Canis lupus familiaris: one gene and its partners. The protein of the gene in region 1 purifies or fractionates together with the protein of each later gene. This does not show direct contact. Links are inferred from orthologs where the notes say so. Each region holds a gene or a part of one and is shown on either strand. Other genes may lie near its edges.

Region 1 (9,839 bases):
GGGCTCGAACTCATAACCCCGAGAACAACGGTCGCATGCTCTACCGACTGAGCCAGCCAGGCACCCCCTAAAGTACCTAATAGAATTTTTGACAAGTGCAGTGGGAAAGAGACAAATACAAGAAGCAATGGCTTCCAAAGAGGGGTTTGCTATTTATCAGCAGTTGAGGACAGAAAGCTACCCTGTGAAACAAAGGCAACCATGTTGGACAGGAGCTAAGTCTAGTTTACCAAGAATGTCGCACACTGCCAAGTGCTCTAGATATCTAGAAAACAACGATTCCCATGGAGTCTTTAAATAAAGCTTTTCCAAAACATGGAACTTTCATGGCACTTATGGAAAACAAATATAGAGGGTGAGTGAGGAAGTATTCAGTATATATGAATGCAACCTGAGAAGTGGGAATGAACATTGATTTTCCCCAAAAAAGTAAGAATAAAGAGACAAACTTAGGCAGGATGCTTGTATGTAAGGGGCCAGACGTGGTTAGAGCTGAGTGCAAGCCTAGCTCTGCCTGATGATGCTTTGTTCCTTGTTCCATCAGACATTTTACCAAAAAACACTGACAGGACATTCCAGATGGATTAACCAACACTAAACATCTTGCATCCCAGTCACATGCCTTTTGCCAGGATCTCAAGGACTTGTTGGTAATAGTAGCTATTTTAATTTAGGGCCAATATACTTGAAAGGTCATCCTGAAGAAAGGTCCAGAAAATGGACTCTCAGGTAGTGAATTATTCCATAGGACCCATGACAGATTCCACTCATTCATCCACTACCTTCCAACAGGTAACCCATCCCTTCCTCTTCAGCAGGAAACTAAGCGGCTACATACTAGTGAACGTCACAGGTATAAACCATCCTACTTCTTGTTTTTTGAGGCAGCAGATTGCAAACCTTGGCTGTCTGTTACCAGTAATAAACTACTGCTGTATAGGATTATGTTAAGGTGGCCACTCGACCGCGGGACCGTGGCTGTAGCCTCAAGGGGAGCTAGCCTCCTGAAAATGTTATTAATAACCCACACTTATAATAACCAAAGTAAGAATATACAGTGGGGAAAAGACAATCCCTTCAATAGATTGTGCTGGGAGAAAGAAATGGTTATATGCAAAAGAATGAAATTGGTCCACTTTCTTACATCATACACAAAAATAAACTCAAAATGAATTAAAGACCTAAACTGTAAGACCTGAAACTATAAGAGTCCTAGTAGAAAACAGAGACAGTAAACTTGGAGCTCAGCTAGAGCCATCTTTCTAGACGTGTCGCCTGAGGCAAGGGAAATAAAACCAAAAGTCAATTATTGGGACTACACCAAAATAAAAAGCTTCTGCACGGCAAAGGAAATATTTTAATGAAAAGGCAACCTCCTGAATGGGAGAAGATATTTGGAAATGATATATCTGATTCAAAACACAACTCAATGCCAAAAAAACGAAAATGATCCGATTAACAAACGAGCAGGGGACCTGAACAAATAGCTTGCCAAAGAAGACATACAGATGGCCAACAGACACATGAAAAGATGCTCAACTTCACTTATCTTCAGGGAAATACAAATTAAAATCCCAATGGGACAGCACCCCACACCTGTTAGAATGACTATAATTTAAAAAAGGGCAAAAAATAACAAGGGTTGGTGAGGATGTGGAGAAAAAGGAATCCTTGTGCACTGTGGGTGGGGATGTAAATTGATGCAGCCCCTGTGGAAAACAGTATAGAGGTCCCTCAAAAAATTAAAAATAATATGTACATATATACACACACAATAGAACATTATTCAGTCATAAAAATAGAACGAGATCTTATCATTTGTGACAGGGATGGATCTAGAGGGCATTATGCTGATTGAAATAAGTCAGACAGAGAAAGACAAATATCATATGATTTCACTTATATGTGGACTCTAAAAAGCAAAACAAATGAACAAAGCAGAAACAGACCGCCAAACAACAGAGGGCAAACTGATGGTTGCCAGAGGGAATGGGGGTGGGAGGATGGGCAAAGGAGGCGCAGAGGAGTGGGAACTAAGAGGCTTCCAGTTACGGAATGAGTAAGTCAGGGGGATGAAAGGTACAGCACAGGGAACGCAGTCAATGGTATTACAAGAGCGTTGTGTGGAGACGGATGGCAGCTACACTAGTGAGCCCGGCATCAACGGACAGGCTGGTTGGATCACCATCAAGGTGACAGTGTAGATCAAGTATACCTTGATTTAAAAGATATTTTAAAAAGAAGAATCACAGAAAAAAGGAGAACATGTTAAAGGAAGGTAGTCAATCTAAAGCGGTTAGCACGATGCCCGGCACCCGATAGGCCCGGTGTGTTTGCTATTATTAATACAAAGACTGAATCTCCTCCAGGGCGCTGTTTATTTCCAGGGAAGTCCCACAGCGGACTGTAACGCTGGGAGCCCAGCGCATCTCGCTTAGAGCAAGGGGCCGCCGCTGTGACTGGGGCTAATATCATAACCTTGGGTACGTGTGCGGCATTTACTGGGGTTGGAGCCTGGGCTTGACAACCCACAAACATCGATTATGCGCTTGCTGTGTGCCAGGCAGTGCGCTCCACGCGAGGACGCGGACAGCAGCGGAGAACCGCGGCTGTGCGCTGGGCACGGAGCGAGCCCCTCGCGGGAGGCATTTATTCCTTCCTCCCAGTGACGCTGCGAGGTAGGCACCCTCATCTCCATCCTCCTGGGAGGAAATCGAAGTCGTGAGGCACTGAATGATTGGGCAGGCCGTTCTCCCCCGGCCTTACACCCTGAAAGTCCCCGTGTCCCCCGTGAAGGAGCTTACTCTGCACCCGCTACTAAGCGCTCCGCGAGACCCCGGCCTCCGCTCCGCACCGCATCCCCCTTCCCGAGCCCTCCAGATGTCGGGGATCCGAGCGCGCCCCGCCCCCGCTGCCAGGGGCTCCCGGTTCCCCAACACCTTACGGCGAATCGGTTGGAAAGGAAGCAAAGGAGGCGCGCGCGAGAGGCTCTGCCGCCGGGCTCCACGTCCGGGCTCCACGTCCGGGCTCCACGTCCAGGCCCCGGAGGATGCCCCCGGACGCTCCTTCCGCCCCCGCTACGGGAGGAGGTCGGACCCCGGCCGCTCCCCTCCGCGGAGCCGCACGCCGAGGCGAGGTTTCCCTGCCTTCAGGGCGCGCGCGACGGCCACACCGGAGACCCAAACCTTGGGCAGGGGCCAAGCGGTCACTTCCCCGCCTCCCGGCGCGGTATGCAAATCCGAGCACCAGGAAGTAGCTGGGACCTCTCGGCCGAGCCCAGCGACAGCCAGTTCCTCTCCCGCCGCTCGGGGCCGTCCGCCGCTCGCCCCCTGCCGTGGCGCCTCCGGGCCCCGCGCGCGCAGCCTCCGGGCCGCGACCCCGCGCCCCGCGCCCCGCGCCCGCAGCCTGCCCCGCGCCGGCCCCGCCGGGCCGCCCCGTCGCGCCCCCCGCCCTGCGCTCGAGTCACCGTGGAGCGCCGCCGCCGCCGCCCCGCAGCTTGCAGCCGGAGCTGGTGAGTGCCCGGCGCGGGCCCCGCCGTGAGGGCGCCAGATGCCTCCAGCCCGTGGGTGGCCGGGCCCTGGGGCGCGGGGGACGCTCCGCAGGTGTCTCCCCGCCGCGGCGCGCAGGGGGGCGGGGGGGCGCAGGGAGGGGCGCGGGGGAGGGGAGGCGCGGGGCGGGCGCGCCGGGGACCCGGGACTCCTCGGCTCGCGCGGTCGGGTCTCGCCGCGGGGCCCCGGGCTCCCCGAGGTGAGGGACGGGGCTCGGCCCGGGCTCCCCGCCAGGCCGGCGGGCGGCTGCGCTCCTCGGGAGCCCCGGGCGGAGCGTGAGGTCGGGGGGCTGCGGCCGAGGCTGGTGCGCGCCCTCCCGCTGAGCCCGGCGCCTCCCGGCCGGCGGAGGAGCAGTCCCGAGCCTCCCGCGGCCCAGAGGAAGCGAGAGTTATTTTAAGAATTCAGGGGTTGCCTTTCCTGCGCCCTGGGGGGAGGGCGTAGGCGTCAGTTCCCGCTTTCCTGCGTTATCTTGGCCACTGCGGCATCTCCTCCGAGCCGCGCATATATGTTCCCACTAATAGCTGACGTGGTCGTCTGGTTGTGTTTCCATTTCTCCGTGTATCCGTGTGTGTGTGTGTGTGTGTGTGTGTGTGAGAGAGAGAGAGAGAGAGAGAGAGAGAGAAGAGAATTATCACAAACCCACCCAACTTCTTTGCCAAAAACCCCAGTTGAATTTGGGCCTTCCAGTTTTCTAGCTGAGTGTCAACCTGGGCCTATTATTGAAATTACCTGTATGGGTTTTTTCGTCTCTGGGAGAACATATTTACCTTCTGAGCTATTTATTGCATGTAAAGCCCCGAGTGCGTACATAGGCATTTCATAAATGGCGCTGTTATTATTTATTGCAGATAATTCTTTTTTTTTTAATTTTTTAAAAATGTTTATTTATTTATGATAGTCACAGAGAGAGAGGCAGAGACACAGGCAGAGGGAGAAGCAGGCTCCATGCAGGGAGCCCGATGTGGGATTCGATCCCGGGTCTCCAGGATCGCGCCCTGGGCCAAAGGCAGGCGCCAAACCCCTGCGCCACCCAGGGATCCCTATTGCAGATAATTCTATCCGTTAAAACACGGTTCCCTGGTTCTTCACAATTTGTTGATTTTAAGTCTAAGACTACATGTCTGATTCAGCCAACTGACCTTCCTAGCTAGTAAAGCTGCTTAATAAATACACCAGAGGTCTGCTGTCTGCAAAGCTAGGGTCTGGGAGTCTCACGCTAAGCACTAGTTAATGATGTTTGACTTACTTCTGATTTGTTGGCTGCCCCCCAGGCTGGCTGCCTGCAGAGCTCAGGAGGGCAGGCCTGTTGTCCCCGTATCTTAAAAGCTAAAGCACTGCAGAGGGTAATAGGCACTGAAAGAGTATAGGAATTCCCTAAGTCCCCAGAAGCCCTTCCTAAGTAAAGTAAACTCTGCTGGAAAAGGGTGGGGTTCAGTTAGTCCTGAACTGAAGGTTTTCCTTTGAAGGTAAGGAGGTAAATGTCTTGAGGCTCTTGGTGACCTGGCTTCTTTGGATACAGAGTGAGGTAACTCTCTTCCTGAGCGAAGTGTAGAGGTCAGCCCATGTAAGGAAAGAAACAGGCTCTGGAAAACCCACGTTTGGGTCTCTCCCATCATTTACCAGAACTGTGATATGGACTAAGTTGGGTAAATGCCTTGGCCCTTTGATTCAGCTAACATTTCCTTCGGAGCAGTATTCAGTTATATTCTGATTCGTTTGCATGTAGAGTCCGTATTCACCACTGCAATGAAAGGTGGGTGAAAACGACTTTGTCTGTCTCGTCCAAAACACTAGCCCCAGTGCCTATCACAGTCCAGATTACTCGGAAGAGGGAGTGAAGTTTGGCTCTGAGTTTGGCTCTGTGCAAGGCCAAGGAACAAGGTGGTGGTTTCTAAAGCATTTGAACCTGGCCCTCTCTGTCCCGGTTTTTAAAACAGGGTTATTGTTGTTGTTGTTTAAGATTTTATTTATTCATGAGAGACACACAGGGAGCCTCTTGTGGGACTCGATCCTAGGACCTTGGGTTCACGACCTGAGCCAAAGGCAGATGCTCAGGTGAGCCACCCAGGTGCCCCTAAAACGGGGATTTTTGACTGTCAAGTTATCCCAGTGTCAGTGTTCTAAGTGGTAATCTCTACATAGGAAAGGTTATTGGGGTGTATCCCTGGGAGCAAGGGCTTGATTTGGAGTGATGTCATGTAGCCTGCAAAGGGAGTTTGCCCAATCAAAAAGACCCACTTTATCTTAGAGCTGTTGGTGTTGCCAAAATATGTGAAGACTTTGCAATACCCCTGCACCCCCAATGGCATTTTTTAGCAGAAAAGTGGTCCAGTTTTGTGAATCAGTGACTCTCTAAGCCCTTTAGTTTCTTTATATTTGTTTTAAAAATAAATCACCAGAACATGAGATACCAGTTGGTTCAAATGAATATATAGAGTTGTAAGTTAACAACATTAAGCTATACTATCCATAAACAAACCCATACAAATGTGAATTAGTATAAATAAGAACACAACAGTGTACATGTCTACAATAAGTATTGTTACATCTAGCTTACAATACTGATCTCAATGACCTCCACGTCCTCAGGCATGGATAATATTAACAGTGGAAGGTCACTACAGTCATTAGTTGGGACATTGACCGATGACACATTGATGACAATGGTGGTCTCACCTCTCTTGGGCTCTACCTGGCAATGACTGCTCACACCTTTCGCTTGTCAGAAGCTCTGAGCTCTGATTCCTGAGCTCTGATTTCATTTGAACCTCTCCTGGATCCCAGGGTAGGCAGGGACAGGTACAGAAAAAAGAGGTTTGGTGTCTAAGGTTACAGACCTGGTTAAGTGGCACTACTGGGCAGAGCAAGTGTGTTTTCTGCTCCAACTTTAGAACGTTCCCCACTTTTCTGCCTTTGCTCTGGTGGTAGGTACTCAATTACATAAAAGCAAAGAAATGATCACTTAATAAACATTATTAAATAGAGAACCACAGGGTAATTTTCTTCTATCACTTGATAATTGCACCATCAAGTAGGGCACTTAAGGCAAGCAAACTGAGGGAGATGGGTTTCTTTGCCTTTCAGTGTGCTTCCTGCTTGGGGAGGGGCTTCCTGCTTGGGAAGCTTTGGGAGGGGGTGGCTCTGATAACTGCCAGGGTGACACCTGTATTGGCTCTTGCCCAAGCGCTTCCAGTGACTGCCTTGGGAGCTATCAGGGCCTATTGGTTGATATAGAAGTGTGCAAGTAATACTTTACCAAAGGATTGCCTCCAGCCGCTGCTAGAAGTGTCTCCCATGAACCCTACAAGCCTCCTTGGGTGGTTGTTATAACAGTGAGAGCATCATTTGAGGTGAAAACATAACGTAGGGAGACAGGGCCCATAAGATACTCGTTAAAGCATGCACTCCTTTACTGAGCACCTGTGATGGGCCAGGCACCCTTCAAAGCCCACACTTCTACAATGGACACACATTGCCTACCATCTTTAAAGATTGGTGGTGAACAGAAGGGCATAGAAGAGGAAGTTTCTTTTTTTTTTTTTTTTCCAGTCAGAACTATTGAAAGATTTCTTACACCTGCCCAGTTTCCTGATACTTAAATTGTGAAATGTTGAGTTGACTCTATCATCATTTCTGAAATTTATTTTGAGTAAGTTCCCATTTAGGGGAGAAGCCCAAGTGTAGGAAATGTGTGGGAATCTGCCCGTTGAGGAATTAGAATTTTTGGAACAGCCCCATTTAAAGACTTGGACCTTCTTTTGGATGTCTTTGTTTACGTTAGCTGGAAGGGCTGTCATGTAATTTAGAATAGCAAGTTCAGATGATGACTTGAGATGAGGTGTTAGAAAGGTACGTCTATGCCGATCAGTTGCAGGGCCCAATAATATAGCCTTTATTTTTTGTTCTTAGACTTTCTCTTCAATCTAGTTCTCTGCTTCACTTTCTTTAGTACTTAGTAAGCTGTCAATGTTCATTATTTGCCACAAAGCTATTTCTTGGAAGTTCTATTTACCATCAGGATGTAGTTTCGTTTGTATAGAACTTTTCCAAAAGGTTGATTGTTTGACTGTCTTTATGAACAGTCACATAGTCCCAAGTCTCTCTTCTCTGGCCCAACCTCTCACAAGGTCCACAAATCATGAGTTGCCGTGATAGGAGCTGAACATTTATGGGAAGAGATTACTGATTCATGTCATGGTAACTGTTCATTTTTCATGATTCTGACTTATATAAATGATGTTTCATCAAAATATATGAATGAGGAAACCTTATAGAATCCATCTGAGGGTGTATTTCTTAATGCTATAGGCTCTGCCCCCATTGGGTTGTAGAACACTGGGCAGCAGTCTCCATTCTCGTAGCTTAGAGGGTCTTTTATTATTTTTTATTATTTTAAAATTTTTTATTTATTTATTCATGAGAGATACAGAGAGAGAAGCAGTGACATAGGTAGAAGGACAAGCAGGCTCCTGGCAGGGACCCCAGTGCGGAACTCGATCCCAGGACCCTGGGATCACGACCTGAGCCGAAGGCAGATGCTCAACCACTGAGCCATCCAGGGACCCTGAGAGGGTCTTTTAATTCTGTTTCATCTCCTTTTTACAGTTCACACCTCACACAAGTCAAATAATGCTGAGTCTGCACACATGGCTGCCTTTCTGTGAACATCTAAACTCACTCTGTTGATCCCAAGCCATGCTGATTGAAAGCTCTTTGCCAACACACCTCTCCAGGCCTCCTTCCTCTGTCTATTGGTACAACATCTGGTTGGGGAGCTGTCATGAGTTCCTTGGGCCTAATTTTTAGTGCTGGAGAGAATACACAGTGAGACTGGAGAGAGGGGTTTGCATTCATTCTACCTCCAACTAAAGCAATGTCGTTTTGTTGGCTTTGGAGCCTTCTGGGTGCCCCTGGTCTTCCTGTAAATGTTAACCCCCACAGGGGTGAGGGGAACAGAGACGCTCATCTCAGAGAGACCCTCTGGAGAGGGAGGACCACTTCTGCTTTCCACGGGGAAGCTGTGTCACAGAGAGCAGAACTGTAGCCGGTGACCTGACAGGAGGCCAGAGGGAGGGGGCTGGCAAGGAAGTGATACTTCCTCCTGCTTCGAAGGCCCCAGACCCAGTCATTTGCCTGCAGCCCCGCCTTCCTTACTACTCAACACAGCTTTTTCCTCTGGCTTCTTTCTACCACCTTCTGCTCTGTTCATTTTCAGTTTGCCCCTGAAAGAGGAGGAGGAGGTAAGGGAGGGGGAGGGAAGAAAAGAATGAATGTAGTCATCACTAGAGAACCTTCTATGGTGAAGCCCATGATGGCCATGCCTGATTTTTCAGCATCAGAAGGATGTGCCTTTTAATATTCACCAACATGGAAACCATTATGAAAATCTAAGTAGGTGTTTTGAAATCTTTTAATGTTCAGGTAATATAATAATTTCTTAATCTAATAATAGTGGTTCAGTTCTATTTTTAAAATTACTTAAACTATAGCCTCTTATTAACTTTTCAGGATAGAGTAGTGACTTTCATACTTCTTTGATCACAACTCACATCAAGAGACATGTTTTATCTTGTCCCTGAATGCATATCTGTCTTCAAAAAAAAAGGAAAAAAGAAAGAAAGAAACACAAGTTTGTGAAAGAACCCCTCCTTCTAGCTCATTGGGTAGTGTGACCCAGCACTGTCCTTTTGAGACCAGCATGGGGGTATCTATCAGAATTTAAAACTCATGGGGGAGCCCAGCAATTCCACAAGCTCCAGTCCGATTAAAAATTTAACACAAATGCGTAGGTAACGTATGATACTATTTCTGAAATAAAATATGCATTGGTGGGACACATCATCTGTAAGCTATGCATATCAATAATTTTGATACTAAATTTTTTTTTTTTTATGATAGACATAGAGAGAGAGAGAGAGAGAGAGAGGCAGAGAGAGAAGCAGGCTCCATGCCGGGAGCCCGACACGGGACTCGATCCTGGGACTCCAGGACCGCGCACTGGGCCAAAGGCAGGCGCGAAACCGCTGAGCCACCCAGGGATCCCCGATACTAAAATTTTAATAGTGATTATTTCTGGGTTATGGGCTGAATTTTTTTTTTTTTTGCTTTTGTACATCTTTATTTTTTAAAAAAGAGAATCACTTATAGGATTTTAAAACAGCAGCATAATGAGCAATGACATGAATCTGATGTGAGTGCAGGGGGAAGGCAGGAATAATCAGAGAACTTTGGGGCAAATGTGGCCATTATTTTCTTTAAAATTTGTATTTATTTATTCATGAGAGATAGAGA
Region 2 (10,071 bases), on another chromosome or scaffold:
CCAGGATCGCGCCCCGGGCCAAAGGCAGGCGCCAAACCACTGCACCACCCAGGGATCCCAAGCTGTGCCATTTTAAAGCATGGGAGCTGTACGCCGAGCAGCTACCTGGCACCAGGCACCTGTCTGCTATGCCCCTCGACAACCCGGCCAGGTGTCGTGTCCATTTAGCAAACCAGGAGAAGAGTCCTGGTCTGTAGAGTGGTACACTCACCCAGCTACCAGGAGGCAAAGCTGTGATGTAAACCCAGGCTTCTCTGGCTTCTCCGGCTCCAGAACTTACAAGAAATACATAACTTTGGTTTTTCTGGAGGTTTTGTTTCAGAAATGCTATCACTTTCTTTCTCTCCAATTATATTGTAGATTTTTTGGTTTTATCTTACTTAATACCTAGGACCTGGGTGGCTCACCAATTTGGCGCCTGCCTTCAGCCCAGGGTGTGATCCTGGAGTCCCAGGATCGAGTCCCACGTCAGGCTCCCTGCAAGGAGCCTGCTTCTCCCTCTGCCTGTGTCTCTGCCTCTCTCTCTCTCTCTCTGTCTCTCATGAATAAATAAATAAAATCTTAAAAAAAATAATACCTAGGACCATGATCGAATTTGTTCAGCTCCATGAACATTATTGACTAATTGAAGAAATGAATGAAGGTGATAGGAAAAGGTTTATGAGAGTCGAAGAGAAAGAAGAGTTTCCAGTCAGCTCAGGACATTCACCAAAAGACAACCATACCAAAGAGATAAGATAAAACTAAGAGTCAGTTCTCTTTCATGATTTGTACAGTTACAGTCTTATTGGAAAGCACTAGAAGCAGCATCTGGCAGAAGTCATCGAAATATGCATATCTTTTGATGGGATAACCCCATACACCTGGTTAATTATCTTAACAGTGAAAAACTTGGGCTCGGTGGGTGAAGCAGGTTAAGTGGGTTAAGCGTCTGACTCTTGATTTCGACTCAAGTCATGATCTAAGGTCCCTGAGATCGAGTCTTGTATCGGGCTCTGTGCTGAGCATGCAACCTGCTTAAGATTCTCTCTCTCCCTCTTCTTCTGTCCCTCCCCCACCCCAAAAAGAAAAATCATTCTGCAAATATATGACTAACTCTCACTTTGTTCCTCTGAAGACAGTGGGCAACCATTACAAATTGTGATTATAACTGGAGAATGGAATTATGAGATGATTTCTGCTTTTTACCTTATAAGCTTCAAAAAGTCATATAGTCATGTATTTATTCTGTAAGTAAGGAAAAAAAGAGGTTTCCATTTTGAAAAAAAACGAATGGTTACAAAGACTATGAAAAGTTATATGGGCTACAAAATTGTGTATCCGGCACAGTTTGCAAGTCCATAAAGAAAATTTCTCTGTATAGGAAAAAGGATAAGGATAGTCACCAATATATATACAGAAATTAGTTCCTTTGCTGATTATGGATGTTTTTCTTGCATATTTCTCTCATCTTCCAAACATTTTAAGTGTGTATGATTTTCATATATATGAAAATATATTATGATTTAACAATAGCAAAACATCAGTTTTATGTCCACTATAATTGCTGAACACACCAAAACCCCAACAAATGTGTAACAAAGGAAAAGGAAATGCAAACCATAACAGAAAAGGAGTAAAGAGGCTAACCCTACAGCCAAGGTCACCGTCAGCAAAAGCCTGATCATTCTGACAGCCATTTAGATATGAACGTGGGTGTGTTAGAGACTCTGACTGGAACATTACAGTATTTCTATCAAAACACTGAAACCACCATGTGAGTACTTGATTCAAGATGAACTAGGCTTTCTGTGCAAGGGAAGTATAATTCAAACAATCTCTGGCCACACACAAGAGGTATTAAAAAGAGAACACTTATCGTTTTTCCTTGAAAAAAAAAAAAAAAGCTATCTAGGTTGCTGCTCAAATATTCGAAAATGTTAAAGTTCATGGAAAAAAGACCAAAGTGAAAAGAGTTAGCCCTCCAGCTGCCAGGCCTGCTCACCATGCTACACCAGGGGTAAGGGAACCATCTTGAGGCCCACAGTTTAACACCCAGCCCCCTGAGGTAAACGACTTCCTGTCTGTGCTGGCTGTAAATGGGCTCTCTGATCCCATGGCCCTCAAGCGATGCTCACAACTTCTCTGTTGACCACAGCACAGCACCACCAAAACAGAATGATGGCCACTTGAGGCAGGTAGGATCACAGCCCCCAAGATGTCCATGCCCTAATCCTCAGTTTATTGAATAGGTTACCTTATGCAGCAAAGAAGACTTTGCAGATGTGAATAAGGTTAGGCACCTGAACTAGGAAGATTATTCTGGATTATTTAGGATAATCACACTAATCGCATAAGTACTTAAATCATAGTCCCTTTCCCTGCTGTGTGAGCCAGAGAGACAGCGGTGTGAGGACTCAGTCCATTGTTGCTGACTCTGAAGATGGAGGGAGAAGACTATGAGCCAAGGAATGTGGGTAACCCCTAGAAACTAGAGAAGGCAGGGAAACAGAGTCTCCCCTAGAGCTTCCAGAAAGAAATGCAGCCTGGCTGACACCTGACGTTCAGCATGGTGAGACCTGTGTTGGATTTCTGACCTCCAAAATTATGTGCTAAGAAATCTGTGCTATTAGGGATCCCTGGGTGGCGCAGCGGTTTGGCGCCTGCCTTTGGCCCAGGGCGCGATCCTGGAGACCCGGGATCGAATTCCACGTCGGGCTCCCGGTGCATGGAGCCTGCTTCTCCCTCTGCCTATGTCTCTGCCTCTCTCTCTCTCTCTCTCTATCATAAATTTAAAAAAAATTTTTTTTTAAATTAAAAAAAAAAGAAATCTGTGCTATTAAAAAAATAATACAAATTCTTCAAAAAGAAATTTGGGTTGTTTTAAACCAGCATGTTTGTGGTAATTTGTTGCAGCAGACATAGAAAACTAATATATGGATATGATGAGAAGCTTTCCCCTAGGACTTGTCCTTGTACCTCTGATGCTGCTACTCCCATCAGCCAATGGACACTGGAGAGCAACCATGCACACAAAAAAAAACCAGGGTGGTGTCCTGCTAGGAGCCCCTCTCATTCCATTTGGGTGTTCCGTCAACTAAACAAGTTTGAGAACCATTGACCCAACTACTGCAAAGCCTCAGTGAGCATTGAAGGTGGTGGTTCTGTTCGGGTGGTGGCTCTTCTGGCAGTTAAAGTTGACTGTTCGTTCCCATTAACCAAAACTTCTAAAAAGCTCCTACCCTGCTGCTCGGTGCCAGAGATACAAAAGCAGACATGGTCCCCACATCAGGGAGCCCACAGACTGAAAAACACTATGACATCAGGAAGTTCAGAGTGACAGGGAAGCATGGGAAGAGTGAGCATCTGAGCAAGACTAATGGGACACCTGGGTGGCTCAGTGGTTTAGCGCCTGCCTTTGGCTCAGAGCCTGATCCCAGGATCAGGGATCAAGTCCCACATTGGGCTCCCTGCAAGGAGCCTGCTTCTCCCTCTGCCTATGTCTCTGCCTCTCTCTCTGTGTCTCTCATGAATAAATAAATAAATCTTAAAAAAAAATAAGCCAGACTTATCTCTTGTAAGATGAATACAGTTACATGATATATATAGTGAGCCTAGTCCAGGGTGTGAGCTGGCATACTGAATTCAAGCACTGTCTTCCCAGGAATTGGTTGCCTGGATTTTTCTTTTCTTTTCCTAACCAGCCGGTGGGGCCAGACCTGCTTTGCACACTCACCTGTTTCCACGTCATTGGCATTGGCTGAGTCCCTCAGCCTCTTCAGAGCTGTGAAGAGAGCAAGAGAGCTCCAGTTAAAAACAAAATAAAACAGGAGCACCTGGGTGGCTCAGTGGTTGAGTGTCTTCTTTCAGCTCAGGACGTGATCCCCAGGTCCTGGGATGGAGTCCCATATGGGGCTCCCCGCAGGGAGCCTGCTTCTCCCTCTGCCTGTGTCCCTGCCTCTCTCTCTGTGTGTCTCTCATGAATAAATAAATAAAATCTAAAAAAATAAATAAAACAGTCATGATGAAGCAGAGAGTGGATGGCTTCCTAGTTGATCCACCATTCACCCACAAGAACATCTAAAGGGAAGGAAAGGCACCAGGATACAAGAGACGCTACCCTGGGAACAAGAAAAACTTGAAATGTATCACAGCTACACAGTGCAAAAAGCCACTTTCTGTAGCAAATCCTTCAAGGTCTTTGGAGCCAGATCTTGGCTCTGGCACTTAAAGTAGCTGGGTGACCTTGAGCAAGTTAGTTAAACCTCCTGGGCCTCAGGTTTATCATCTGGGAAAAAAAAAAAAAAAAAAAAAAAAAGGTTGAGCCCTATCCTGACAGCCCCAAGTTGTTGCAATTATATTCTCCAAAAGAGGCCATTCCCAAATAACTGAGTTAAATTTGGTAATTCCGAAGCAGAAACGCTTTTCTCCTATAAGGACGCTACCTCTGTATTAGAGAACAATGCCTTTGTCATCGGAGGGATGGTCAAAATTGCAAGCAGATACATTTAATGATTCCTTACTTCTGTATAGCCCTTTATGCTTTACACAGCACGTTCAAATTTTCATTTAATCTTAACAGCATGACTTAGATAAGGGTGGAATCACAGATAGTCCTAGAAGGGACACTAACATTTCCATTCTTAAATCTTTCAAGGCATTGGTTTCCGCGTCATCCCCAAATGTAAAAGACAATAGAGCCCACACACGAGCAGGAGTTTGACCTGGCCCATGTGGGTTGATGCCAGCACAGCCACTTTCTAGCTACCGGGGGTTGGAGCAAGGCAATCTCTCCGAGCCTCAGTTTCCTCTTCCATATAATGGGAACAGTATCTGGATCTCACTGAGTTACTGTGAGGACTGGAAATGAACACATGCCGGCCCAACAGTGTTTGGCACACCACCAAAGCAGGATAACCTGTACTGATTCACCCCCTGACTTAACTCCGGCAACATCCCCGTAAAGCAAGTATTGTAGTGGTTTACACACGGAAAAACTAAGGCTGGAAGTTTCTATAGTTTGCCTAAGGCTTCGAGGTAGAGGAGTCCAATCCCAGTCCGTGCAGTTAAAGGAGTTGCCGGAGCTTGGCCACAGGCTCCGGCCTCCCCCCCTCTTTGACGCTAAAAGCGTTCGCCCCAACACCCCCCCCCCCGCCCTTCTTTTTTTAATCTACTAAGAAACGCCTGGAGTCCTGAAAAGTTTCTGTTCAGGAATCCCCGAGCGCTTAAAGGCCGTCCCCTCCAGGTTCGCGGTCCTCGGTGCTCGCGGTCGGCGCGGGCCCGGAGCTCAGCCGTCCGCGGACCCGGTCGCGAGCGGCCGCGGCAGTCGGGGCCCCCGGGGTCCCGCCGCGGTCCCGCCGCGCTGCTCACCGTGCACCTCCTTGCCCGTGGGCCCGAGCCGCCGGTGGGGCCTGGCGCGCCTCAGCCGCCCGGCGGGGATCTTACGGCGCAGCTCGTCGCGGGGCTCCGCGTCCTGCTGCCACAGGACGTGGAGGTAGCGCAGCGGGGACTGCGCCCCGCCGGACGCCCGGCCCGAGAGGCCCGCGCCGCCGCCCAGCGCCGACCCGAAGTCTGCGAAGGAGAAGAGGCCCTCGCGGCCCGTCAGCGGCTCCGGCGCCACGGCGCACTCGCCGTCCGAGCTCGAGCGGCCCGAGCGCGGCTCGTCGTCCGCGCCCCCGTCGGCGGCTGCCATGGCAACGGCTCTGCGCGGGCCTGGCCGCGGGAGCCTCGTTCCGGGCCGACCAACCGACCCGCTTCCTCCGCCCTAAGCCTCGCTGTCAGCGGGCGAGCGGGCGGGCCGGGCCCGCAACCACGGCAACCGGGAGGGGGCGGGCTCCCGCCGCCAACAGCCAATCGGGCGTGGTTCGGGCGAGAGAATTGGTTTCCGGCGGCGTAATTGACGGACAGAACAACCAATCGCAAATATTAACCGCCCACGCCCTCACCGTACGTCGCCACCGGAGCCAATAAAACAGCTGAGTTTAGGACACTTTTTTTCTCTCTCTCTCTCTCTCTCTCTCTTTTTTTTTTTTTTTAAACTCTCACCAACTTCCCGAAAGATAACGGGCAGATGCTTTAACCAATCACCTCAGGGGAGCTGCAGCCAATCACTGAGGAAAGCGAAGAAGCCGCCCTCCAGGGATAAACAGGGCTACATTTTAAATCGCGAACGAAAGAGGGGGGTCTTCCCGGTGGAAGTGCGTAGTGTAAGAAAGTAAGAATGTGTCAACGTTTGGGGCTCTTCCGCAAAGGGGGGAGTAATAGCTTCTGAAGCGGAACGATCCCTTTGGTGAGGGTTCCAGTCACTGACTTACGAAGAATTTTAATTCAACGTGACTGCCCCACAGCGACGCCGCAGTCGGCGAGCCGGTCACCGAGCCAGGAACCGTGTGTCCAGGGCGCAGGCTCAGCCCCGCCGCCCGCGCCGCCCGCGGTGATGCGCACAGCCCACGGGACACGCAGGGGCTCCGCGCGGCGGACCGGCCCCGCGACCCCTCTCACCACCCGGCCGCCCAGCAGGACGTCCATACGCTGGACGAGGAGCGGGAGGAGCGGACGCCGGACACCAGCGACTTGCGTGCGGATGCCGCGCGCCCCGGACCACGGCCTGGGTCCAGGCGAAAGTTCTTCCTTCTCCCTCAACCCACTAAAAATGTAATCTTTCCCCTGACAGTTGAAAAACACCTTCAGAATTTGCGGTGCTCTCGGAACACCACCGTGAGGTTTCTCGTGATACTGTGTGGAGAAAAGCGCTGTTTTATTTGATCTCTGCCCCACGTATGCCTACTCCCCTTGTGGTTACAAGGAAACCGAGGAAAGAAATGAACACCGAACACGCATCGCTTACCAACTGCTTGATGTATTTTATATGATTTCTCCCTCACAAGAACCTTAGCAGGTAGATGTTATTATACCCACTTTGCTCATCAGGAAATTGAGGTCTGGAGATGTTATATGAACCCATGTACAGGATTAGAAAGAACTGGGATTTGAGCCCCTCAAAGTCCTCTCTTTCCACCATACTGTTTTCTTTAATGAAGAGCCTGCTGGGAACCTAGTTCCAGAAAGCTTAAGGGACATCTGGGTGTTTATACCTTACTCCTGCTGAATGTATCTGGAAATAACTTTATTATTCATTCCGTGTAATAACCTCCAAAGTTGTCTTCATCCCTCCAGCCTCTCTTTGTAGAATTCAAGGTGCATATGCTGGCTAAGGTACAATTCTTTTTGTGTCTGTAGGATCTGCCTACCCAGGTTAAAGTGCAAACCCGTTATTCTAGCAGTCAGCCGTTGTCTTCCGCCTACTAGTGGGTCCGGTCTTCGAGCAATCTGGTCAACTAAATATGTGTACATGTCACAATCTTTTCATTTGAACAGACTCTCTAAACATTTGGAGTTAATTGTTACTTCCCATTTTAAAAACCAACTTTGTTGGCGTATTAATTATATAGCCCAACCTTCCAGTGTGTTTCAGGAACCACTTGTTATTTTGGATTAGAAGAATGGGATGTGTGTTGAATGTGAATCAAGTTATGCTAAAGGCTTTAGACTGGAACTTGAGCTGTATTCCCCAAAATGCCTGGCTCAGCAATGGGCACCACTGCATTGTAACTATTTGGCTGACTGACCCATTGACTGACTGAATGAGAAAGGATAGTATACCCCAGTGGTTAAAACCATCAACTTTAGAGGCTTAAGAATGTGGGGCTATGGCTTCAAGCAATGACTTTACCTTTCTGAGCCTCAGTGGAGGTATTAGTAGGACCTATATCATGTGGTTATCACAAGACTAAGTGATATGCTGTGAGTAAAGCACAGAGCTTGGCCCAGAGTTAGTGCTCAAAAAATGGTAACTATTGCCATTATTATAATAAATAAGGATAGGGGATCCCTGGGTGGCGCAGCGGTTTAGCGCCTGCCTTTGGCCCAGGGCGCGGTCCTGGAGACCCGGGATCGAATCCCACGTGGGGCTCCCGGTGCATGGAGCCTGCTTCTCCCTCTGCCTGTGTCTCTGCCTCTCTCTCTCTCTCTCTGTGTGTGTGTGACTATCATAAATAAATTTAAAAAAATTTATAAATAAGGATAGGATGCAAGCTATGGCCCATGCAGATCCTATGCAACATTAGGCCCATCACACTGGCTTGAACTTGACCTATGACCTATGAACTTGACCTTGAACTTGACAATCATTCATACTAGTCCTTTTTATTCAGCTAATCAGCAAATAAAATATGGAGTACTTGGTGGGAGACAAAGAAAATGCCTATAATGCTTGCCTTGTGGGAAAAGCTTCCACCTGGGAATCCAGGACTTGGGCTCTAAGTCCCGTCTGGACCAAACTCACCTCCTGATTTGGAGTTAAGTGTTTCCTTTCTTTAGGCCTCAGTCTTGTCTTCCTGTAGGAAGGTATTATTCTAGGTCAGATATTGACACCGGCTCAGTTCCAGATTCAGTAGGACTTTCCTTTCATTTTTCTCTCATTACGTTGGCCTGCACAGTATTTTAGAGCAATCTGAACTGAATGCCAACATTTAAAAATGGAGAACTTTTATGAACATTAAAAAAAAAATCTCCAGATTCTTTTTCTTTTTCTTTTTTTAAGATTTTATTTATTTATTCGTGAGAGACACAGGCAGAGAGAGAAGCAGGCTCCATGCAAGGAGCCTGACGTGGGACTCAATCCCAGGTCTCCAAGATCATGCCCTGGGCCACTGGGGCTGCCCAAATCTTCAGATTCTTTTAAAAACGGGAGATATAGCAACACAGGACCAGCCCTCCCACATGGCACATGGGTGCCTGCAGACAACTCTCCCCTTTAGATGGGATATAGTATTGTGGTTTGCCACAGTCCCCACCACTCCCTCCTGAGCCTTATAGGCAGTTGCCATTTATTGCCATACTTCTGCTGTTGTTTTTCTTAGGCAGAGCTAATAGGAAATTAATATATTTCTTGTCTTCATTAAATGTGGAATAACAGCAACGAATGTGGAGGGAAATGATCTAGTATCTGAAAATATGTCATATGGTGATTGCATGCCTTTTTAATAGCATGCTAGAGAATTGCTTGTAAACCCACATAAGAGCCATCTGACTCTCTAGGGAAATCTAACTTTGACAGCAATTGATTAGCATCCAGTGACGTTTTCCAACTCTGTAAAGTTAGAAGTTAGCTTGTAGGAAACTGATAAGATGCAATAATTTTTGCACGTCTGATGAAGAAAATAATCCCAAAGATTATAGTTTTATTATCCCATAGGGCATGAAGTATGATTAGCAATTATAATTCAGTATTCCTTTTTTATACATATTTTTAAGATTTTACTTATTTATTCATGAGAGACACACAGAGGCAGAGACATAGGCAGAGGGAGAAGCAGGCTCCCCCTAGGGAGCCCGATGTGGGACTCAATCCCAGGACCCCGGGAGACCACCTGAGCCAAAGGCACTCAACCACTGAGCCACCCAAGTGTATTCTTTAACTCTTCAAATTCTTTCCAAACCAGCTCTGTCATATTGTTGGTTCCTTCATTAGCAAATAAATAACCTTCCTCTTTATTGTATGAGAATTGTATCTTTAATTTCTTAAGGGTATTAATCTTTTGTCATTGTGTAAGTTCCAAAATTGTTTTGGTTATTTGTTATGTTATTGTTAATTATAATTTAAAAATCACATTTATTGAGATATGAATTACCTATAGTAAAATTCCCACATTTGAAGTGCGCAAGGTTGATGATTTTTGACAAATGTATATACTTAGGTTAACAACCACCCCAGTCAAGATAGAGAACATGACAATGTTATATATATATATATAAACAATTAGAGAGTTGCTCTTTTAGGCTAGAAAGGGCCCTGTGTTTTCAGAAAAGAAAATAATTATTGAGGTACCTGGGTGGCTCAGTTTGTTAAAGGTCTGACTCTTGATTTCAGCTCATGTTGTGATCTCAGGGTCCTGGGATCAAGCCCCATGTCAAAGTCGGCTTGGGGATTCTCTCTCCCTCTCCCTCTGCCCCTCCCTCTCACTCATGCTCTTTCTCTCTGAAATAAATAAATAAATCTTTTTAAAAAGTTATTATTTAGGGCAGCCCGGG
Region 3 (9,291 bases), on another chromosome or scaffold:
ACCCCTTGTCCCATTACTGGATCTCCTCTTCGCATAACACGTGAGTTTCTCGGTGAGCCTGTGACAGACCGGGCAGCTGAGGGGCAGGATGTTGGGGCACCAGTGCCCTGCTCTGGGAAAGTATATGGGAGCAGGCAAAATGCGGGGCCACACTGCTCAGACTAGATTGTGCAGAAGCTTCTGAGAGGGGCGTGGGAATGCACCCCCCACCCTTTCCAAGTTGGTATTTGCAGGAATCATGTTTATTCTGTGACATTAAAGAGCAAGTTGGCAAAGCTGGTTTTGATAGACATCTCTTAGTAGCCACAGCAAAGCAACTGAATTGGTTATTGAACTGATACTCACTGAATGTCTGCCCTGTGCTGGGCTCTGTGCTTGCTGGGTGCTGGGGATACAGCAGGGAAGTGAGCAGGAGCAGCCCTGTCCTCATGTACTTGGAGGGGAAAAGTCCTCCTTTATTTTTTTGTTTTATTTTAAAGATTTATTCATCTATTTTAGAGAGAGAGTGAGAGGGCAAGTACTAGAGCTGAGGGAGGGGCAGAGGGAGAGGGAGACAAGCAGACTCCCCGCTGACCATGGAGCTCCATGCAGGGCCCAATCTCAGGACCCCAAGATCATGGGCTAAAATCAAGAGTCGTACACCCAGCCAGGTAGGCCACCTAGGCACCCCAGAAGTCTCCCTTTGATTCAAGGATGAATAGGAGTTGATGAGAGAAGAACAGGTGGTGCGGCAAGGAGGAACAGCATGTGCAAAGGTCCAGGGGCAGGAGGAACTGAGAGGGATCTGTTAAGATCAGACTGTAGAATCCAGGATGATGAGTGACAGGAGAGGAGAGAAGTGGATGTTGCACTCAGGTTTCCCATATTTAGTCTGTTTGTAAGACGAGAAGGTGTAAGTCTTGGCCTGGGCATCTGGAGAGCAGCATATTGCTACCTTCCCAAGTGTCACCACAGGCAGGAGTCAGAGTGAAGGCATTTTAGAAGGTCACGTCTTTTTCAGGGGCAAATTGGTTGCATGGTTCTCTGTTTCCCGCCATGTCCATTGGCTTAGAGAGCTGACTTCTAGCAAATCCAGAGGACAATGAAGGAACATGAATTCTTAAAAGGAGAGGCTACAGATGTGAAGAGGAGAAGGGTGTATACAAATACGCATTTATATGTCCGTTTTGGTAGACATAGTTCAAAGTAGTGAGTTCAAGACCCGTGGGGCCCTGACACCAAAATGGTGGCCCATCGTTGGACTGAGAGCCTAGTGGACACCATGGGGCGGGTAGGATCATTAATTATCATATATCTGATTCACTCCTGATACCCTTTGACCGAATTCTCCTCCAAAGATTATGCAGTCTTGAGTCTCGATCTTTCCCTTGGATTGCCAAGGTGGCTGCTGACCAACCACATCCTGCGATTGTGGCCTCAGCCTAAGGCTCATGACTGGTATGGCCACATGATTACTTATGTCTGGCCCAGATCCTGACCATAGATCTTTCTAGACAGGAAGAATTCAAGATGTTGGGCACTTGGGCTGAGAAGTTCCCCAAAATGCCCCAAGGTGCCGACCTCCGCACACATGGCCACTGCCTTCTCTCCCTCAGGTACCTCACCGGTGACCAGCTACGGAGTGAGTCATCCACAGAAGCGTACATTCGCTGCCTGCGGATGGGCTGTCGCTGCATTGAGTGTGAGTACCATTTTCCTGGTGGAGATGATGCTTATGGCGAATTGAGGTCTACCATGTAGCTGCCCAAGGCTTTCGTCTGAAAGGCCTGAGTCCTGGGAATGCATGGGACTGGCCAAAGGAGAACCCAGGTGCCCATAGCATCTGGAGTGGGGGATGTGGCCACCAATGGCCAGGGACCTTACCCCAGAAGATTTCCCCCCAGGACAAGGAGTGGTGTCGAGCCTGGCCGTGTTGGAGTCAGAAACCCTTGAGTAGCGATTTTGGGCATCTAGAGAATGTCCCGATGTCGTGGCAGGGCTGGGACACCAGTACCAGAGATGGCTTTGTTATACTGCTTTCCTCCTTCAGCTTCACTTGGGCTGTTCTTAGAGGAAGGCAGGAGCTCTCTGTGATTTTTGCCACTGGTCCAGCCATGGATGCCACCCTGCCTGTTCTATTCATAGTTGCTCAGAGACACCTGGGCACAGATGATCCAGGCCCTTGGACATGTTCAGAAGCCTGCTGCTTCCTTCCGTCCCACCCCTCACCCTCCTGGCCTGACTGTGCCACCGAAGGCCTGCAGGTGTACTGGGCTGAGAAAAGGCACAGAGGCCTGATGTGGGCTCCAGTTCTATCGAACACATTCATCATGGCATCAACTTTAATAGCACTTATTCCTGTGGATGGTTGCCTAGTGTATGGGCCCTCCTCCAGGAGAAAGCAAATGTGAAAAAATTAAGTTTGAAACTGTCAGCTCTTGTTACCTCTGGGGGCTGAAAATAGAGGGGATGTTCACCTTCTACATAATCTAGTTCTGTTTGAATATTTTACTATGAACTTTAAAAAATAAATATCTCATTGCTCTGTGTTATTTCCACTAGCGGAAAAAGCAAGCCAAGTGAAATCAGAAAAAAAATCCTACATTATAAATGTCTTTTAAAAAAAGGAAACATTGAAACTAGTTTCTTTTGGACAGATGTATTGGGGACCTTTAAATAAGCAACCAGAGCCTTCCTGTCACCGCACAAGTAATGGTTGTTCATAAGTAATGCGGACCCTCGTGTTTCTGGCCCCTGAAGATAATTATTGGGTGTGGGCCCCATGTCCTAGTAACTGAGCCATGTGGGGGTCAGGGCCAAGCTCACAGACACCCACCAGCAGCGTGACTGCCGTCACTGGACTCTCGAGGTGCAGAGTGATGGCCAGATGTCGAGACTACACGTTTCTTTCCTCAGTGGACTGCTGGGACGGGCCCGATGGGAAGCCCATCATCTACCACGGCTGGACACGGACCACCAAGATAAAGTTTGACGACGTCGTGCAGGCCATCAAAGACCATGCCTTTGTCACTTCAAGGTTGGTTGGCTGATTTCCTGGTGGTTTGTCTTTAAGGGAAAGGTGGACAGACACAGACGCCCCTCATCCCCGTGTGTCTGTCTGTCTGTCTGTCTGTCTGTCTGTCGCTCTCTCTCACACACACACACATACACACACACACCCCTACCTGCCTGGCCTCCATCCTCTGGTTCACTCCCAACAAGTCTTCAGCTGAGTGTTGGCGCCCCCTACAGGCCAAAAGCGCAAGTCCCTCCCTGGTTCTGGAGCCTGGAGGAGGCTGGTGCTGGGAAACCAGTGACCTCTGCCCTCCTTCCCGCTGAGCTGAGCTGGCTCCTCCTGCACACAGCTTCCCCGTGATCCTGTCCATCGAGGAGCACTGTTGCGTGGAGCAGCAGCGCCACATGGCCAGGGTGTTCAAGGAGGTGTTTGGCGACCAGCTGCTGACGAAGCCCACGGAGGCCAGTGCTGACCAGCTGCCCTCGCCCAGCCAGTTGCGGGAGAAGATCATCATCAAGGTGGGTGGTCTTGGATGGCCTGACATTCAGGAGAGCCAGTGGCTCAGAGCACAGGCTCCTGGTTCCACCACATGAACTAACACCAGCTCTCCTTACTAACTCCCTGAGCGACCCTGGGCAAGGTCATTTAACCTCTAGGTACCTCTGTGTCCTCACTGGTCTTGGGAGGTTAATAGTAGAGCCTGCCTCATTGGCTGTGAGCATAATGTGAAAAAATGTGTGCAAAATGCTTAGGATTGCATCTGTCCCGTAGCAGGTGCTCTGTAACTATTAACTGTCATTCGTTGATTCTTTAGGCAAACCTCCAACATGCTCTGGTCTAAGTCAGGTCTCTGCTGGGGGTGTGCCATTGACCCGGGCTCCCCTCTGGCCCTCAGGAGCCCCCAGTCCACTGTGTGAGATGGGCATGGACTGGAGGTGGACAGTTGCCCCAAAAGGTTGTGTGTGCTTAATGGGATGAAGGAGGAGGTGCATGCCAAGTGCTGTGGGGAGAGATGAAGGATCAGCCATGCCTGAGAGTGCCAGGGATGCTGGGAAGGGGGGTGAGGTCTGGGGATCTGTATTACTAGGACAAAGAGACCAGATATACAGTGACTGAGAGCATAGAAGAGGTCATTTCTTCAAGTGTTCTAGACGGTCTGAGCTCTGTCTCACAAGGCTATCAGGGGACCTGGTATCCTCTTATCTTTTTTTTTTTTTTAATATTTTATTTATTTATTCATGAGAAACACAAAGAGAGAGAGAGGGAGAGGGAGAAGCAGGCCTGCTGGGAGCCTGATGTGGGACTTGATCCCAGGACCCTGGGATCATGACCTGAGCCGAAGGTAGATGCTCAACCACTGAGCCACCCAGGTGCCCCCCCAGAACCAATGTTTATAAATACTTGCCAGGGTGGGCGTCAGTACGCATCTGGATGAAGGTTGTTGTGGTCGCTGTCTTAGTCTTAAAGATGAGAACTATGAGAGTCAGAGAAGTATAACCACCTGCCTAGGGTCACCGAGCTGATAAAGCAGCTTTAATCTGCATATCCTGTGCGCAGTCCACAGCCCTGCAGTCTGGGCTGCCAGACTGGCTATTCTTGCCTTTCCCTCTGTGTGCCAGAGAATGTGGGACGTGCAGGCGGTATCACTGATCCACTGAATATTTACTGAGCACTTACTATCTGCCAAGCTACCAGAGGAGATTCAGCAGGGGACGACACAAAGTCCTGTCCTCATGGGGCCTATATTTTGTGGCAGGGAAGACAGAAGACCCAGACATAGATACACAAAGGGCCAAGAGTATGGAAAATAACTCTCAGGGATGAGAGAGTGACAGGGATAGGAAGGGAGGTGGGGGCTCTTTTTAGACCAAGTAGTTGGGGAGAGCTCACTGGAGGAGGGGACACTGAGCACAGAGCTGAATGTTGTGAGAGAGAAGGCAGGTGGAGAGAACAGGCAGTGCAAAGGCCCTGAGGTGGATGCTGTGGGTAGATGCTGGCTGGCTGGCTGATGTGGATGAATGCTTGCTAGCTCAAAGATCCTAAACTTGGGTCTTAAGGAGACAGGCTATGTGTATTTTTTCCCCTCAGCATAAGAAGCTGGGTCCCCGAGGGGACGTGGATGTCAACATGGAGGACAAGAAAGATGAGCACAAGCAACAGGGTGAACTGTATATGTGGGATTCCATCGACCAGGTGGGTCTCCTTGCACCCCTTCTCAGAGCCTCGAGCGCATCTGAGACCTACTAGAGAATTCTGAGAATATTCCTCTCACTCCCGTTTTGACCTTTTTTTTGTATCATTAATAGTTTACTTTGAAATAATTTTCTATTCCACATAGCATACTACACATTTACACATACACACAACAGATTTTTTTATATGGCCTTCACTCAGCTTCCCCAAACACTAACATAACATAACATAAACGTAACAACCAGAGTGTAATTACTGGAAATGAACTTTGGAGCAATACTACCAGGTGATCCATGGACCTTACCAGTTTGTCCTCTGATGTCCTTTTTCTGGCCCAAGGTTCAGTCCAGGATGGGAGAGTGCATCTGATTGTTCTAAGTCCTTAGTACCTTTCAGTCTAGGTACAAAACCTTATTTTGGTGAGAGGAATGCATTTTGAGTGCTAGTGCCACTTCTCACATCCCTTAACGTAACATACAAATCCATTTAGGTCTATTTTGAAATCTCTATTCTGACATCCTAGAAATAATGAAAATTATTAATGTTTAAAGAATTAAGTCACAGATGTTGAAGAGTCTCGAGACAAACTGGTTGGGAAATCCTGAAAGTCCTAAAACGCAGATGTAATAGAAAAAGACAGTCATGAAACCCCAAAAACATTGCCCTCCTTCATAAAAGGCTTCAAATTAAATAAATATGAACTAGAAATTTGATACTTAGTTGTATCTACCCTTAGACACACTGAATAAGAAAAGTCCTGAAAATGCCAAAAGAACCCAAAAATAGATATTTAGAGGAAACGTCTTGAAGGGAATTGAATTCCATGAAACCACCATAAACTCTACGAAAGTGGGAAAGGAGCATCCCTCGTAAATGCTGGGGTGATGCCAGGCAGGGCTCCTGGCCCCAGTGGTGTTGAGGGCAAAGGCTGAGGGGAGAGCTGATGCTGGGTTCCCTTTCTAGAAATGGACTCGGCACTACTGTGCCATCGCCGATGCCAAACTGTCTTTCAGCGATGACATTGAGCAGACTGCAGAAGAGGAGCTGCCCCAGGTAGGGGAGACCTCCTAACCCGTGCTCTTTCCCATGGCCCATGGGCCAGACATCCTCAGCCCAAAGAGCTTCCTCTTTGGGTACCAGTGTCTGCCTGGCTTGAGCCAGCTCTTCTCTGATTGGCTGGCTGACCAACCAGTGAGCTTTGGGGGGGCTTTCCTGCTCTCTGAAGGGCCTGCTTGGCCTGTGCTCTGGGTGAGAGGGGAGGACATGTGGATGCTCTGGCCAGCCGGCTTCCCCACTTCCCTGCCCTCTCCTCTGGGGCTGCTGGCCGTCCTTGGTACTATTTCTTGAGTGCAGCCCTCAGGGCATTATGGCTCTCAGACTCCTTGTGCAATAGAGTCAAAACCTGTACCCGGGACCTCTTAGCCCATGTCTTCGGGCTTCAGGAGGACACCACCACCAGTGGTGGCAGGCAAGGGAGGGCAGTGGAAGCCATCTCTCTAGACCTCTTGGGGTGAGGGCAAGGTGAATCCAGCCTGTCTGCTGTTCAGCCCCCGAAGCCAGCATGCACAGAGAGACCAGTCTGGCCATGCTGGGGGGGTAGGTTTTTACAAACTCCTCGTCTCTTTGGGGCCCAGGACACACCCCCCACGGAGCTGCATTTTGGGGAGGAGTGGTTCCACAAGAAAGTAGAGAAGAGGACGAGTGCCGAGAAGCTGCTGCAGGAATACTGTGCAGAGACCGGGGGCAAGGATGGGACTTTCCTTGTGCGGGAGAGCAAGACCTTCCCCAATGACTACACCCTGTCCTTCTGGTAGGGGCATGCCACCTTCCCCTCGCAGCTGGCCGGGTGGGGGGCCTATGTGGCAGGTTGTGTGATCGAGCTCAGGCCTAGACCCGAACCCCAGACTTCACTGAGGGATCCGTGCAGGGTGGGGTGGGCCAAGGCTGGTGAGGCTCGAAAAACTTAGCAGCAATCAAGATTAGTGATATTTCAATGCAATATTTTTTAAAAATTAGAGGTAGTGAAAAATCCACGATGAAGACCTTATCATCAATGTTTTAAATAAAGACAGGATCTAACTCTGCACTAAAGACAATGTGGCCTCACTCACACCCCCACCCCCTCACTAGAGCAGGTGGCTGCCCCTGGGTAAGTCACTGAACCTCTTGAAATCTCCATTTCCTTGTCCCTAAAATAGAGATTCTAAAGGTGGCTTTATGGAGCTGTCTTGAGCTTCCTCACTCACTCACTTAGTACCTTCATTCATTAAAAGGTTTTTTTTTTTTAAGATTTAAAAAATGTATTTATTCATAAGAGACACAGAGAGAGAGGCAGAGATATAGGCAGAGGGAGGAGTAGGCTCCCTGCATGGAGCCTGATGCAGGACTCGATCCCAGGACCCCAGGATTACCACCTGAGCCAAAGGCAGACGCTCAACCCCTGAGCCACTCAGGCGCCCCCATTCATTAAAGGGTGTTGGTTGAGTGATTGCTCTGTGCTGGGTGCAGGAATCAGACAGACGGGATGTCCTGATGGAGATTAAGTCTGGTCAGGGAGATAGTGAAAAAGGAATCAATGATCTATAATTGTAGCTGTGATAAGTGCAGTGAGAAAAGTGGTGGACGTTCTAGAAGTCCGTAAGAGAGGGAAGGTAACGTCAAGGGCGGCAGTGATCAGGGAAGACTTCCTGTAAGAAGTGGTGTTTAAATGAAGACTGGAGGGGATCCCTGGGTGGCTCAGCGGTTTGGCGCCTGCCTTTGGCCCAGGGCGCGATCCTGGGGTCCCAGGATCGAGTCCGGCATCGGGCTCCCGGCATGGAGCCTGCTTCTCTCTCTGCCTGTGTTCCTGCCTCTCTCTATCATAAATAAATAAATAAATCTTTAAAAAAAAATAAATGAAGACTGAAGATTATAACATTATAACAGCATACGGCTACGGCTATAAAACACTGACAGCTAACACCTACAGGATGCTTGCCACGTGCCAGGCGGCATTCTAGGCACATTTTGTGTGTGATCAGTCCTCAGGACAGCTCAGTGGGGACGGACCGCAAAGATGATAATGTGGAGGCCCGGAGAGGACAGGCCGCTTGGTTCAGGGTCATTCAGCACATAAAGGGCCGCGTCAGGATTTACCCCTAGGCCATCTGGCTCCAGAGTAGGAGTTATGAAAGTGAATGTAGGTGGGGGAGGTAGGTAGAATGTTCTGGAATCCATGTTAAAGGACCAGCCTGTGCCAAAGCCCGAGCCTGTTCTAAGAGCAGAGGGAGGGCTTTGGGGCCACACACGGTGCCTACCCGTCATGGCCCTGGCTGCAAATCTGGCCACCCACCACCCCCACCCCCACCCCCACCCCCACCCTGGTGCGGGGAGGGCCAGGGGGCCCGGCCTGGGGGCTCATGTCGTCTCTCCCTCCAGGCGGTCCGGCCGCGTCCAGCACTGCCGGATCCGTTCCACCGTGGAGGGGGGCACCATGAAGTACTTCCTGACTGACAACGTCATGTTCACCAGCATCTACGCCCTCATCCAGCACTACCGCGAGACCCACCTGCGCTGCGCCGAGTTCGAGCTGCGGCTCACCGACCCTGTGCCCAACCCCAACCCCCACGAGTCCAAGCCGTACGTGTGCCCGTGCTCTCGGGGCCGCCGACCTCAGGCACTGACCCCACGGGTTTAGGGGGTGCAGACACCCCCACGGGCTGTGTTCACCCATCAGAAAAGCCAGCCTTGTGGGTCCCCTGGGATCTCTTCAGCCCCCTGGACGGCCAGTCCCCAAGCACCTGCTCTACTTTCTCTTGCCCTCTGCCTCCCCCTGCCTTTCTTCTACTTTACCGTCACCGTCCTGCACTCTTGGCTTTGATTTTCAAAGGGGAGTGTTGGCCGGTGAGAACTTTCTGCTTGTCGAGGCTCATTCCTGTTCGTTGTGAAAGTGAACAAGAAGAAAGTCACTGTGCAGATTTCCCCTTCATTTTGTTATCGAGTAAAATGTATACAAGTTATGCCTTGCAAGGGGCTAACCAACTCTGGAAATAAGAGGGGGAAACTATGTTTAAGCAGAAGGCTGCTAAAATGTGCATTTCTGACAAGCCTTGTAGCTTCCAGCA

What was found.
Region 2: the proteins of LYN (region 1) and ANKRD54 purify together in Homo sapiens (affinity purification with mass spectrometry; 3 studies listed by BioGRID and IntAct, with this or other methods). This does not show direct contact. The link is inferred for Canis lupus familiaris from reciprocal best matches to the Homo sapiens genes LYN and ANKRD54.
Region 3: the proteins of LYN (region 1) and PLCG2 purify together in Homo sapiens (affinity purification with western blotting; 3 studies listed by BioGRID, with this or other methods). This does not show direct contact. The link is inferred for Canis lupus familiaris from reciprocal best matches to the Homo sapiens genes LYN and PLCG2.

Annotation. Positions count from the first base shown.
Region 1 is NC_049250.1:7,827,522-7,837,360, forward strand, and holds the start of LYN (tyrosine-protein kinase Lyn), read left to right. Parts: upstream 1-3,429; 5' UTR 3,430-3,511; intron 3,512-9,839. UniProt on the Homo sapiens protein: Non-receptor tyrosine-protein kinase that transmits signals from cell surface receptors and plays an important role in the regulation of innate and adaptive immune responses, hematopoiesis, responses to growth factors and cytokines, integrin signaling, but also responses to DNA damage and genotoxic agents.
Region 2 is NC_049231.1:27,790,501-27,800,571, reverse strand, and holds the start of ANKRD54 (ankyrin repeat domain-containing protein 54), read right to left. Parts: upstream 5,725-10,071; 5' UTR 5,672-5,724; coding exon 5,350-5,671; intron 3,764-5,349; coding exon 3,716-3,763; intron 1-3,715. UniProt on the Homo sapiens protein: Plays an important role in regulating intracellular signaling events associated with erythroid terminal differentiation.
Region 3 is NC_049226.1:70,669,127-70,678,417, reverse strand, and holds part of PLCG2 (1-phosphatidylinositol 4,5-bisphosphate phosphodiesterase gamma-2), read left to right. Parts: coding exon 1-40; intron 41-1,595; coding exon 1,596-1,681; intron 1,682-2,895; coding exon 2,896-3,016; intron 3,017-3,344; coding exon 3,345-3,513; intron 3,514-5,083; coding exon 5,084-5,188; intron 5,189-6,151; coding exon 6,152-6,241; intron 6,242-6,822; coding exon 6,823-6,998; intron 6,999-8,605; coding exon 8,606-8,806; intron 8,807-9,291. UniProt on the Homo sapiens protein: The production of the second messenger molecules diacylglycerol (DAG) and inositol 1,4,5-trisphosphate (IP3) is mediated by activated phosphatidylinositol-specific phospholipase C enzymes. It is a crucial enzyme in transmembrane signaling.